4 linked regions of the Drosophila melanogaster genome follow. The protein of the gene in region 2 interacts with the protein of the main gene of each other region in a pairwise test. Each region holds a gene or a part of one and is shown on either strand. Other genes may lie near its edges. The genes, in order: Archease, CG18371, CG15446 and robl37BC.

The links.
Region 1: the proteins of CG18371 (region 2) and Archease interact in a two-hybrid assay, tested with the Drosophila melanogaster proteins (one large-scale study listed by BioGRID).
Region 3: the proteins of CG18371 (region 2) and CG15446 interact in a two-hybrid assay, tested with the Drosophila melanogaster proteins (one large-scale study listed by BioGRID).
Region 4: the proteins of CG18371 (region 2) and robl37BC interact in a two-hybrid assay, tested with the Drosophila melanogaster proteins (one large-scale study listed by BioGRID).

The regions. Positions count from the first base shown.
Region 1 is NT_033777.3:21,660,658-21,664,688, forward strand, and holds Archease (archease), read right to left. Parts: upstream 2,316-4,031; 5' UTR 2,208-2,315; coding exon 2,153-2,207; intron 2,087-2,152; coding exon 2,062-2,086; intron 1,563-2,061; coding exon 1,172-1,562; 3' UTR 529-1,171; downstream 1-528. UniProt on the Drosophila melanogaster protein: Component of the tRNA-splicing ligase complex required to facilitate the enzymatic turnover of catalytic subunit RtcB.
Region 2 is NT_033778.4:14,027,028-14,029,609, forward strand, and holds CG18371 (uncharacterized protein), read left to right. Parts: upstream 1-1,592; 5' UTR 1,593-1,706; coding exon 1,707-2,039; 3' UTR 2,040-2,069; downstream 2,070-2,582.
Region 3 is NC_004354.4:21,098,799-21,104,209, forward strand, and holds CG15446 (uncharacterized protein), read right to left. Parts: upstream 3,409-5,411; 5' UTR 3,289-3,408; coding exon 3,225-3,288; intron 3,131-3,224; coding exon 2,272-3,130; intron 815-2,271; coding exon 616-814; 3' UTR 553-615; downstream 1-552. Other genes in the region: stg1 (stargazin-like protein), read left to right, coding at 5,132-5,307.
Region 4 is NT_033779.5:19,009,294-19,012,042, forward strand, and holds robl37BC (robl37BC), read left to right. Parts: upstream 1-1,572; 5' UTR 1,573-1,702; coding exon 1,703-2,050; 3' UTR 2,051-2,239; downstream 2,240-2,749.

The sequences.
Region 1 (4,031 bases), on a different chromosome or scaffold from region 2:
GAAAAGCTGAAAGCTAAAAGCGAATCGACCAACTGGCCGTTTGTGTGTGCGTGTGTGTCCGCGGGCTATTTGCCTTCATACTTTGTTTGTTCTTTCGCACGCTCATTCGTATGGCTCGTCGACCGCAGCGTTGCTTTTTTTTTAATATCAATCAGCTGTAAAAGCGTATATTTTTCAGTTCGCCGTTCTTCGCCCGATGTTCCAAGGAAAAATCATCATACTCGTGCACGCACGCACCCACACAAATACAAGAACGGGCCCATATGTTGGGCGACGTTGCCCGGCAAATGTTTTTTTTGTTGTTTACTTTCTGGGTTTTGACGGTGCGGTCAGCTGTTTCAAAACAAATCGCTCGGTGTTACCAGCTGACTTCGCTCATCGGCCACTAAATAACATCGGCTCACGCGAAAATCATCCGAATAATACTGATTCGAGAATAGCGCGTTATTCAAAGGAAATCGGTTTTTTGAAAAGCGTTAATATTTGTTGATATCGTCGTGGATTGATATTTAGAATTAGGGATTGCTTAATCGTATAGATATTTATTACGATTTACATTCATTGAACTAAATTATTGTTGATAAAAAAATATGTTTGTGTTTTTAGGCCCCGCATTCTCTATACTTTATGTCGAACAAATCAAGTCAATCATAACATTAAAACTATGGCCTTGACTTGCATTGTTAACTGCCCTATTCGACATGACTCCCCAAAAAGAAGTACAACTTAATTCTTTAATGCAACCCAACGCGTCAGCAACTCCTGAAGGCTGCCGAATAAAAAGTGCATTGAACTGGGGCCTGGGAAAGGACAACAAATTCGGCATTTGTCTGGGAATTCAACACGTTGCCAATTCACAAAGCAGTGGGCAAAAAAAAAGTGAATAGTACACAAAAAATTCGAAGGCAAAAGGGTAAATCTTGATTCCGGAATCAGACCGGTGAGAAGGAAGCCAGTCCTAATTGCATTTGCAGCCGCACAATCGAGTGGTTTCTTGATAAGTCATCCTCATCGACAAGGGATGCAGTCGCAGCACGAGAGATTGCAAATTTTTCGGGGCTTATGCAGCGGTTTTTATATCGTTTTTTGGCATTTCACTTATGATTAATGGAGACAGGCAAAGGGGTTGAAACAGAACAGTCACATTTAATTCCCGGCGATCGCCGCTGGATCAAATGTCAATTATCACGAACACCTCGTAGTTGCTGGCCTCCACGTCCTGAATGATTTGCATGGCCGAGTATGTGATTGCCTTCACTTCGGTGCCCTGCGGATGTTTCCCCAGCTCAAATGGTTCCCCGTAACAATGGCAGGAAATCTCGAAGTTTTCCACATCGAACTTGGTGATCTCCAGCTTCTTGCACACCAGATACGGTTCGGCAGAGAACAGGAACAGCAGCTCGTCCAGAAAGTGAAAGAGTAAGCTCTCCAGATCATCTCCATGCGCTTCGATTTCAAAGCACTGCTCCACGGACACGTAATCCAGTTCGGTCATATATCCAAACATGGCCACTCCGCACTGTTCGAACGCCTCTTTCAGCGACGATCCCCATCCGTGGATTCTGTCAAATGGGAAGGATTCCAACATCATCCGTTTATATTAAGTAAATTAATTATGTCTATTGTAGCCGTAAGTTATAATTTATATACAAAACTGCTGCCTTTTAGTGGCGTAGTAAAAGAATTATTTATGATCTACTACTTAATAATAGTCTTGTTGTTTTAAGCGATAGTAGTATAATATAAAAGTCAGAAAAAACTTGCATTACATATAATCTTCAAAAAAGCAGATACATTTGACGTTTAAAAAGCCGTATTCCCTAACTATGAACATAATACATAGGTTTGGGAAAATATGAAAAATTATAATGGCTTTAAAATATGTATAAATTAAAATAAATTCTTTTTCAGAATGTTTGCTATATCTCAAATTCTAATACGAAAGCGCTTATTAGAATCTAGTTTATACGATCATCTGGATTTTTCATTCACAAATAGCGAACCACCCTACTCCACATGGCTAACGGGCACACTTGTTGTTTTTGTTGTTATCTTACTCACTGAACATCCGCCGTGTGATCCAGGTCTGCAACGCAATGTGATGAAATATTTAGCAACAGATTATTCTCCTGCAAATCGAAGAACTACTCACACTCGTACTTCATCTCCGGCAGCAGGAAGTTCTCCCTACTGAATTCCACCTCCATTATTGTTAGTTATAGCTAAAGTTAAAGTAAAATTCGCGGACAAAAACTATAAACAAACCAGCAACCGCTTAGTGTGACCATCTATGCGCAGGGGAAAATACCTACTGAAAGGAATATACCGAGCTCCAATAAGAAATTGTTAACATACAAATTACAGAAAATACTGAGCTCAAACCGGGAAATGTTAACATACAAATTTTAATAAAATGTATAAAATTGTTTGTAAGAAATATTTGGGTTTTATTTAATAAAGAGTAAACTATAAATTATAAAGATTGAATTATAAGATAAAAGTTTCTATCAAGCTTTTAAATTCGAAATTGTTAAAAATATCTAAAAATACCTAAAGGCTTCATTTATTTTTAACTTTGTAATTTAAAAAACTTGTAATTTAAATATGCATGTCAAATGGGAAGGATTCCAACATCAGAAGAGAAGAAAAATAAAAATAATGCTTCCTCCTTTAATAAAGTGTTTACAAAATGCTTCCCACGGCCCTTTTAGTTAAAAAAAATATATCTAAAAACGTTACAGAACGAAAGAAATAAAATTGTGCTAAAGGCTGTGATTGTAATAAAATTAAGTAATTTTGAGCAAAATTAAAGCAGAATTTCCAGTTTATGCCCACCATTTGTTATCGCACTTAAAGTGCTACAAAGTGCTGGCGCATGTTTTCAGCCCAGTTTTGAATTTCTGTAAGAGCGACCTTGTCCTTTCATTAAATCGCAATCAGCCATAACAACTGAAGCTGCAACCTTGTATTTTCATTTGCCAAAAGAAACAGTCCACAAAATCTTCTTCTGGCCTACCGGCAGCATTGCCGTCAATCGTTACGATTGTCAATCACGTCGCTTGATTTATTCAATCCCATGAACTTGAGCGCTGGCTGTGAGTACTTGATTTCATACTTGAATAATACCCATTGACGGACATGGGATTGTCTAATAAATATTGCCTCATTAAATTCAGATCACTTTTCAACCAGCGGTGATGGGTTATTGTTTGAAATAGACAGCGAAGGAAATATTTATTTCTAAGGTCGTTCAACTCGTTGATGTAAAGTTCAAGAAATATTTAGTGTGTTAAGAGAAATGAAAAGTTATTTTATAGTTAAAGTGTTTGTATTATTTCAAATGAATTTTGTATTTACTTTTTGTTCACCTTTTGGGACATTAATATGAATTATTATCAAACATGCTATAAAATTATATGAAATAATATTAATAATAACTTGCTAAGTAATGGTTATCAGTTAGTGCGCATCTCGGTCAATTAAATGATTCTACGCATTTCTAAAGGAATTTATGAATGATTTCTGCTGGTGATTTACGACCGTTTTGTTCAATTTTGTTCATTTTGCACATGAGGAAACGCGACTTGGGGGTGTCAAACTCTAAGCCGAGTTGACAAAGCTCAATTTTGTGCCCGGCCATATTATGGCTTTCAAACATTTTCCTGCTATTTTTGTGGTTTTTTTTTTATTATGGCTCATTTGGCTGCTGCTGCCACTTTTGGTGGAAGCTCTTTTTCTCTGGTTTCCTACGTCTTCGAGTGGTTCAGTTGGCTACGGGAGCTCGCCTGATTCACGTCGCGTATTCGGCGCAAATAACTGTAAAGCTATTATTATTCTCGAATATTTGCGCGCCTTTGCGTACGAGTTCCAGAATTTCATATTTGGCTACACTATATATTTGGAACAACCAGAAGTAAATTGCCTGGAAGTGAAACTAAAGCTCGGGAGTTCGGAAAACTCAACTAAACTAAGTAGCTAGGTAACTTGTTTTGTTAAATAACTGACCGTTGGTCAACTTGGTTGCAAATGCA
Region 2 (2,582 bases):
CTTCGGAGAAGCTGAGTTTTGTTTACCGACTTGCTGTTGTTGTTGTTGTTGCTGCTGTCGCAATTGAAGCGCAGTTTCTGGCAGCAACAGCATGAGCTATAGTATCTATAGATATACCGATACCTATACTTATGCCTACATGTACATACAAACATATATACCCGTTCGTTCGTAGCTCCAACGGCGAGGCATGCGAAGTCCCTTCAAGCGTTTCAACGTACTTTTTTTTTTGCTGCGCTTCGGTTTGTTTGATTTGGCTTGCTCACCTTCGGCTCGACGGCAACAACAACAACAGCAGCAGCAGCAACAACAACAGTATCGAACGGACGTCGACGGAGGCAGCGACGGAACTGCGAATTCGATGGAGACGTCGGTGGCGGTCTCAACCTGAAATCCAACCTGAAACTCGAAACGAACCCGAGGCTCGTGCTGTGTTTCATTTGAATGGGCACACGACGAACGGAGTTCGAGTTGGATTGGCCACAGTGTGCCGGCCAAATTGGAAGCCTTTGGTTCCACTTTGCGAAAACTTTTAAATTCGCTTAACCAAATTGACAGCTTTAGGGCCATTTCAACATACGTACACGTTTGGTTTCTTAAAATGTAGATGGTAAAGGGGGAAAATCTTTTCGGTTGCACGCTAACGTCAGGGTGGAAGAATGAAAAGCAGTTAATTTCTAGAGAATATATCGTATCGTTAATATTTAATAGTCTTCCTTACAAACCTTAGACATAATTGTGAAAAAGTATAATTTATGTAGTCATCGGGAAACCAATTTCTGGAAGCTGTCGGACGAGTACTTGTAACTGTAGTCATTTATCACAGGCATCTTTTGCAAATACCTTGGCTCAAAGGACCTCATTTCCCCATGCTCTCCCTTTTGGTCTCTTTCTGTCTACCCATCCCGCTTGCACTTGATCCTGTGCCTAGGCCATAAATATCGTATTAAATATTTGCCTTAGTATCGCCTGCGATGTCGGCGTTTCGCGTTTGCATTAACGCCGAATGTTGTCTGTTTATCTCGCTAGTTATTGTTCGCGCTGCCCATAGGTGGTGTTTTGCCATTTTCGAGGGGGGTGTTCATGTGTCCATGGGCCATAGGGGAAGGGGAAGGGGGAAGGGGGAAGGAAGGAGGCTTGCTGGCAAGAGGAACAAGGGGGGGGGAGGGTTTCGGCTCTGGTTTGGTGGTTGCAAACTTTTGTGGCATTGCCAGTTGATTGGATTGCCATGAGATGAACTTGGCGTCGCATGTGAATGTGTGCGTGTGTGCGAATGAGTGTGGCAAGTGATTTATGAGTCCCCAGTGCTGATATGGGATACGCTATACGCTATGGATATACAATAGATACAATGTCATTAGCGCTCTCGCCGATACACTGCTCCTTTTTCCAACGTAAACTCCCTATTTCTTTCGTCGATTTTAATTTAAGCACATAATGGCGATATCATTGACACCCAGTAGTTTAACATTTAATTTTAGCAAGTTTTGCTTGTGTTAACATTATTTGGGTTTCACTGTGCTGCAGAGCGCACATTCCGAAAGGAAACACTTAACTGCTTAAGGGAATCTAGGAGCTTGCGACATTCCTGTAACGAACACTGACAAAAATCAACTAAATTTCAACAAGTGGAGTTTCTGTTTCTATCTCTCTCTCGATCGACAATAAGTTGGAGTTATTTCTAGAAAAAACGAAGCATATTGAAGATGATGCAGCCAGCGGAACAGATCTTCTCCTGCGGATTCGAACTCTTCGGGCGAGTACAGGGTGTGTGTTTGCGGAAGCAGACACGAGATCTGGCCACAATGAACCAGGTGCGCGGGTGGGTGATGAACACGGACGAGGGCACGGTGAAGGGACAGCTGGAGGGCACACTGCCCAAGGTCAACGTGCTGAAGTTCTGGCTACTGAATATCGGCAGTCCGCGCTCGATTATCGAGCGGGCGGAATTCACGCCCACCAAGGAGATCACTTCGCACAACTTTAGCCGATTCTCGATTCGCTACCACAATGTGGCAGCAACGAAAAAGGCCATTTAATAAAGAATTTAGACTTGTAGTCTACTACCGAAAATTGGAACTGTGTATTTGCTGTAACTATTTGTTTGGACCTTTAAATTGAGCTGCCTACGAATGGAGCCCAGTTGTGCTTCTGCGAGCATCATTTATAAACCTCTAAAATGAAAAACAGGCTGCTGCCAGCCACTAATTAAGCCGCACAAAGAAATGCTCAGCGCAATTACATGGAGGCTGGCACATCCACTATGTACTTATTTTAATATATGTATCTACAAAGTAAATATATGTACATATGTATATATATATATATGTGAGATGACTTGGTTAGACAGACACCTGCAGCTTCAGCTTCAGCTTCAGTTTTAGCCTCGGCTTGGCCACATTTCCAGTTGAGCGACGCCCCAAACTGGCAATGAGTTTTTACGGCACACAAACAGCAGCCAACAGGCAACAGACAATACTGGCTATAAGGAAAATCTAGAATAACAACAGAGAGCCACAAATATTTATCGCAGTGCGCTGAACAAGAACAGATTGACTATTTGATTGAAGGTGAAAATCTAG
Region 3 (5,411 bases), on a different chromosome or scaffold from region 2:
GGCTTTCTTCTCGACGGCTACATAGCTTTGAGCTGAAAATAACTGGAATATACGGGTACAGCCTTTTTAAATGGTTTTATGATTATATGCATTTTTTATATATACGTTTACAAGGGCCCAAAGCCAATTGATATTCGTAAATGTTTCTCATCAAATGAGGACATGTTTTCGTGCAACCCTTGAAATCTCACCCACGTCCTTGCGACCGTACTTAGAACTTTTTTGAGAGAGTTTTTGAGTTTTTATTTAGAGGCGTACTTTTTAATTCAAAATCGTGAAAAGTATACCATTGGAAAGGGCTTGAAAGCATTATTCCCATGACGCCAAAAGGTGGCAAGTTAAATTTAGTTCATAAACCGAGGAAACGGGTTTCACGTGCTTTGCAGCTGGCAAATGGCAGCTCGTCCTTGTCACAGGAGCAACGAGGACATCCAGACCTCCATGCGGGTTTTTCATCCTTGTTGCTTGACAAATAATTGTATTAACGACACAATGTGGGCTTAATTTGTTCGCAAACTATACGAAAGTACACAAAACAAAAATCTATATTTTCACCATTATGCCATTCTTTATTTCATATAAATTAAATTATGGCTTCGCTGTATACAAACAGATTTATTCCGGCTTTGGTTTTTTGCCAAGTTGCTGCAATTCATTTGGCTTAGTTATTTTAAACTTGTGTAAGTTTCGCGCACAGGCATTCACGGAGTGCATGCGCATAAAGCCTGATGTGCGAAAGACCTGGCCACACTTGCTGCAGTTGTGTGGCCAATTGTGGTGACCAGTCTCGCGTTGGTGCTTGTACATGGCCCGACTGAAAAGATAGAAGAATGAGCGATATTAATGAAACGTACATATTTCGGAACCCAAATACAGTACAGAACCCAAATATACAGTTTCGAAAAAATCAATAGCACCACCATAGCGTATCATTTATTTTTGATCATTTGGGTATTTCCCCATCCGAATCTGAAAAGAATTTATATAATATTCGTATAAGGATATACTAGATTCGTTGAAAACTGTGTAACAGCTTTCCGACCATATTCCGCCTGTCTATCCATCAGTCCGTCCGTCTGTCAGAACGTCTCGATCTTAGAAACTATAATGGCTAAAATGTTAAGATTAGGCATGCAGCTTAAGGAGACATAGTCGCAGCACAAGTTGGTTTCCAAATGTTGCCACGCCCACAAACCGGTTAAAGCTAATACGCCCACACTTCTGAAAAATGTTTTCATATTTTTTCATAGTTCTATTAGTCTTGTAAATGTCTATCTTTACACCTACACACCCCGAACAGTCACGCCCACACTTTTAAACAATTTTTAAAAATTTTCTCATTTTATTCCCCATAATCTATCGATATGTCCAAAAACTAATAAATTTCTCGCATTTCTACTAGCTGAGTAAAGGGTATCTGATTGTCGGGGAACTCGACTATAGCCATCTCTCTTGTTTATAATTTTTTTGGTTCAGCAAGGTCCAAAATAAGGCGAAAAAATAGCACCACTATCAATTTTTTAAAAAATTCGAATTATTGTAAAAGTACCTTAAAAATATTATTAAAACGGAACGTGGAAAGCTTTGTACAGCAACGTGACATGATTAAGAAAAAAAATCATACTGAAATATTGGTCGAATCCTTCATGTCTCAGGGAACATGGTTTAAAAGCCTGAAGTCCAAGGCGCAGCTATTAATGCTTATAATGGATACACTACCATAAATATATTAAGGTAGCGTAGTTTTAATACGCAAACATTTGTTATTAAGTTTAAAATTGAAAATTTAAGCATTTATTTTTTCGTTGTTCCTAATAAAGTTCCTTAGTTAAGTTAAGAATTCATAGAACAATTGTACTTATTTTTTATTTTTTAATAAGTGAGTGGCTTACCATTTTTTAAAAGGGGACTAATTTAAACCTTGATTGGGCACGTGGTGCTCTTTAATTTTAATTTTTCACAACAGAAAAATTTCTATCTGAATAATACTCTTGGCTTTTTTTATCTAACTCATTAAATTATCAGCGAAAATAATGAGACTCTTACAAATAAAATAAAATATTATAAATAAATTTTAAGTTCGTATTGGGAATGCTCATATATGTACTTCCTTATGATCTATGAGCAAAACTAAACTTTTGTGTAAAACAGCATATGTACCTGTAGGAATGATGGATTGGCAGCTACTTAAGTAGCCTTGAAAATGTCTCCAGGTGTGGGCAGTTTAAGAAAATATAAAAGAATATTAATATTGAAAATTGAAAAACTTACCGCGAATCAAAATTTTCCTTGCAGTAATCCAACGGGCACGAAAAGACGCTAAATGGTGGGTGACGGCCCATTACCATTGGGTTAGCACCGAATATAGGCGGGTTGGCTGATGGTGTTGAATTCAACGGCTGTATCTGGCTCAAAGACGAGATGGAGTTCATGATATGATTGTAGTATTGGTTTGATAATGCATTAAATTGTTCGGTCCATGTAACATCCATGTTACGGTAAGGGTTAGGGAAAGAGCTCAAAATTGGAATAAAGTTCCTATTTGTGGTAAAACCCTGATTGGTATTGACCATCGAATCAGACTGCGACCCCTCAGCGTTGTGCTCGACCCCCTCCACTTTAATCTTAACGGGCACGTTGGACTCCTCCGACTTCGGTTCCGACTTGGTCGCCAACTTGTCCGCCACCTTGTCCGGCATCTTGTTCGCCTTCTTGGATTTCGGCTGCATAACCGACTGTTCCCCCGACTTACCTTCATCTTCGATGGTCGGAGATTGAGAAATGCCACCGACTTGACGGGCGAATTCAGATGCCATTCTGGCCGCAGTGGCGGCAGATGGAGGACGACCACGTCGTGGCCCGCCATTATGGCTGAACACATGGGTAGCCGTTTCCGCATTGTATTTGGACATCAACTGTTTTTTGTTACGGGTCTCGATTTCATGGCGCACCATCATGGGCAGTCGATCACTGGATAGCCAGGAGTCGTTCTCCAGCTGCCTCCGCGACTGATTGGCCATTTGGCGATACGAAACGGGACGACGATTAACGGGGTTGTTCGGATGCTTCACTTCGGTGGGTTCCACTGGACGCTGGCACTCCGGGAGACTCGGATGGATAATTCTAGCAGCTAGAAACACAAGCAGGATATATCAAGGAACTGTTTTGCTGTGCAGACTATTTTGTATATAGAATACTACATACCACATTTATGGAAAACTTACCTTCGTAGCGCTCGTAAAAATTGCGGCGCCTATTGTTGTAACGATCCGAAAACATGCTTCGCATAATTAAATTGGTTGAATATGTTAAATAATTACACAGTAACAAACCAGCAGAGTAAAACGACTTGAGCGCAGCAAACAGATTAAACAATAAATTTTTAAAACACCAAAATCACATTCCTTTGACACGTGGCGTAAGAAAAGAAGTCCGCCATCTTTGTTCGATAGATTTAAGCTGTCTAATTTGATGCCACCATTCACCGATAGAGTTGCCTGGTTAAAAAGGTGTCAATTTAAATTTAGTTCATAACTGTTAAATAAGCCTCTTTGGAATTTAATTTCATACCAAACGTTTGCAATCCAAGATCAGCTTAAATCGTTTCTTTCACTTTAAAAAGGTCCAAAAGCATAGTTTTAGTATAATATTAAAATGTATTGTTGCGAATAACAATAGGATTAATAATAAGAAATCAGCTGTTATAAAACAGCTGTAAGCAATGTCGTCGTGCCCACGTGCGTTTGTTTTCGTTTCGAATTTAATAAATGACGTACTACGCAAAGTTTTTGTTAAACAAGTGATGTTTGCTCTAAGTTTTTTTTATAGTTTTATAGAGATAATAGAGAAAACACAAACTAAATACAATATGTATTTCTCTCTGTTTTAGACTTATTAATTTTATTAATTTGTATTTTTCATTCAGCCCATAGTGGAGTAGAAATTTCAAATCAAATTTAATGCAATTAAATGCCAATGTAGGCGGTTGTAGAATCCTTAATATTATATATGTATGTACATACATATATCGGAGAAGCGGAGCGCGGTATATCGTTTTCACGAAACACTACCACAACAACAACAGGAGCCATGCTCATTTGAATACACACACAAATGATGGCCACTCAATAACGGAACGCTCTCCGTGAATTTCATTACTCGCTGCTCATTCTTAACATAACGGATCAATAACATAATTTCGATTACATTCAAATAATAATATGTAATGTAATCTACTCAATCTCCGACATACATACATATATGTAGATATTTTCCACTTTATAAAAACGGTTAAAATAGTATGGCCTTAATTCGATTAAATAATAGTGCTTGCACCTACATATTTTTGTTGCATAAATCGATTGGCATTTGTTTTAAAACAATATTGAGTACTAAACAATACGAAGTACATCTCAGCACTTGTGACTACGCGCGGTGCCAAACTGCGCAAATATTGGCGTTCAAGTGCACTCATGAATATATTCACGAATATCTGGGTGACGACAAGCTAAAGATCCCTCTAAAAAAAATTCCCACCACCCTTTTGAACTCTTTTTTTTTTTGCATTTTCACTGCTTCTTTTTTCGCACATTTTTCAGCGCCAACAATTTTATTTGCACTCCTCGTTTTTGGGTGCCAACATTTATTTGCACATCATTGCGTGTGTGAGTGTGGGTGGGTGGGTTGGTTGTGTGAGTGTGGGTGGTTGGAAAGCTTCGTACGCATGTGTTTTTATGGATTTTCGGCCTCGTTTTTGGCAGAGTCGTCCCCCGACCGACCGCAAAACAGGTTGAATATTTTTTAATCAGCTGCCCCACACAATTTTTGGAGTGCCCGGAGATCCAGGGTCTCGCCAACGACTTTCATTTTGATTTAGAGAATGCAACTTTCTCTACTCTCCAATTGCACAACCAAAAAACTGTGGTTCTTAAATCATTTTGATATGTACATAAATGTAAAAATAAAACTAAATTGGCTAGAGTTGTCTGAGAGCATTGCCAAAGAACGCAAATAAAAATGAGTCTGTTACTCATTTAAAAACAACCTAACCTTTTTTAAATATTAAATATTTTAACGAGTATCGAAATGATTTTGGCCAGTGTCTTATTTCCACTCTGCTTGTTTTTTGCAGCATTTCTGTCGCCATTGTCATCGCCGCTCTGGCCGGACCCCAGTGGCTCTTCACGGAGGAGAAGCTGCCCAATGCCAACTACAATGGGACGGCCAACTTCAAAGCCCTGGACGATGGCGCCTACATCACCAAGTACACCAAGTCCAGTCTCTGGATATTGTGCACCACTCTGCCAGGTAAATTGCTGTCCGTCCAGCATCACAGCACCACATTCCTTGGAACCATTTGCACCACCAGCAAATGGAGACAGATATGACATATATGGTGTTGGGCTGCTGCA
Region 4 (2,749 bases), on a different chromosome or scaffold from region 2:
AGAAAATACCACCAATTAATACAAATAGGGTTAAAATACCAATTAGCGTGTACACAATCCACAATTAGCGTGGACACGCACCGAAACTATCTTTTAGCCAGTACAACCTCCAAAGTTATGACGATTGGTAACGCCGTTTTCGACTTCGAATATTTGTAGTTGCCAACCTTCTTGAAGATTGTATGCGTGCGTGAATTTAAATTTTTTTAAATCGTGATAATGCGTCGAGCAACAATCTAAGCTAAAATTAGATGGCACGGCGTTTATTGATGCGAAACATATGCAATGCCAACAATCTTAATATGATTCTATGCTTTAGCTCTTTGAACCTTTAAATGTTGGCCAAGCACCCAAAGTGTTGAACTATAGCATGTGTTTTATTTAAAATCTATTTGTGATAGAGCTTAAAACACTAAACAGTGGGTGTGGGCATTAAGGTATCTACAACTGCGTGATTGGAAGAGACCCAGTTGCTTTGTGACGGCTCACAACCCCGGATTGCTGTGTCAAGCTTTTACGTCGAATTATTGAATAAATAGTTCCGCACGGCGAACGGGTCGGCAACGCCAAATGAATTATACAACGTGGATTAGGGAGCTCCAAGGAGGGCGGCACGGAGCATCCTCATCCGCATCCTCATCCGCATCCACATCCGGAGTCAGAGTCAGTCGCAGACGGCTACCGGCACGTGACGACACCACAACCCAATGCCAACCCATGGCCCACAGTCATAAAGTTGCCTGTTTGGGAGTCCTGAGCTCATCATCATCGGCTCGTTGCGTGCGTGCGCACTCGACTCGCTTCCAGACAATCTGTGGCCTGGGCCGGCTTATGAATGATGCACAGGCTGCTGCTGCTGCCGCTGCCGGACGGGCAGGAGTGAACTTTTCAGTTCGGGACTTCAACACTTCGATTGTCGGGCTGTAATTCAACGCCATTTACGTGGCCGCATGCTGTCAGGAATGATTGCCGCCTGCACCACCGTGGGTGGTGGCGCCTCGTCTGGGTCGTTACATCCTCCACCTCCACTGTCCTATCATTTCCATTCCCCTGGCGACGCGTGCTGCTGCACAAATAAGATTCAACCTTTGACATAGAGTCCGGAAATTCTTTCACTAGCCGGCTGTCTTGATGGTTGGATGCTTGGCTGCTGGGAAGCTGGGATGCTGGGATCTCCTTGCCAATAGCCACGGGGGAGCTCTGAACTTCCCCCGCGAAATTAAGTCCAAGTCGCTGCGATGATGAAGTTGCGAAATGCTCATCGATCTGTGTGGCTACTGGTCTCCCACATATAGTAAAAGGTTCTATTATAGGATTGACTTAAATCATCTCCCTGTGGTAGCTTACGTGATATGGATCGTTAGCAGGACATAAAATTTAAGGCAGGATTAGGATTTTATATTTTATTATCCATAAGGTTCAGTCTGTATTTTGAACCATTTGCTTGATAGCAAATTATTGTTATAGATATATGCCAATGTAACATAGTTTTGACTAAATAATAGCTTCTAATATTTGTATCTTATCTAGTTAAGACTTACATATTGAATAATCAGTTCAATAAATCACTTCCCACTTGATCTTTGAAACAGAGATCGAAATATCTGTGTGTTTGCTTTAAGTCACCTACATCCAGACCTACAAATACAGCCCCCGCCCTATAGTTCACCCAAATAGGGATCCACTTCCGCTCTTGGAAGCCATGGCGTCAAACACTGTGCAGATGACCTTCGATCGGCTGGTTCAGCTGCCAGGCGTGACGGGGGCAATCCTGATCGATGGCAATGGAGTTCCGGTGCGGACCAATTTGCCAGCGAATGTGGCCCGCATATACGCCGATCGGATGAGGCCACTGGTGATTCTGGCCCGATCCATGGTGCAGGATTTGGAGAATGGGGACGAGCTGAGTTACGTGCGGCTGCGCACCCGCCGCCAGGAGACGATGGTGGCCACCGAGAACGAGCACACGATCATTCTGATCCAGGACAACCGTGTGCTCGACGAATCCTGGAGGAGCAGTGTCGCCTCGCGGAGAGCCTCGGCGCTCTAACGGCTTCGAGTTCAGTAGGGATCGTAAACCAGCTGCGCCAGCGGGTAACGACCACGTCCTGATGTCCTGGCTGAGAGAAGTCCTTGCACGGACGAGCTCACAAATCCAAAGTACAGAGCTGAAATTGTGAGCCGGGACATTGCTGTGCTGGAAGAGCACGCAAAAATAAAATCCACATACAGGCGGGGTAAATTGTGTTTGCGTACCCTCATTGGGAGTCCAGTAGGCTGTTGTCGAAGGTCGTGTGCCTCCAAATTGTTGTAGATATCAGTAAGTAACAGCAATACAAATATTTTATTATTATGGTTTGGCAATATACGTAATTTAAACATTGATATATTAGCTACACACCCGGAATATATGGTTTGAATTTGAAAACCTTGTAGTATATGGCCGTAAGTGATCCTCGTAGCTTTACCACTTGGCCTAGCCGGGATTGGGTATTTCTGGATTCGGTCTGCAGGAAAAGGAGGAACACATCCTTCCATCGAGTTCGTTTCGATTGCTGGCAACAACCGGCTGCCGTCACGCCATCAAGCATTCATGCCAACAGCAACAACAGAGTGGATAGAGGGGGGATGGCAGGGGCTGAAGGACCCGCAGAGCAGCCTGTCGCCTGCACACTTACACATACTCGTGGGCACGCACACACCCTCAGCCTCAGCACACTTACACAGCAACACGCCGGGCTTTACACGC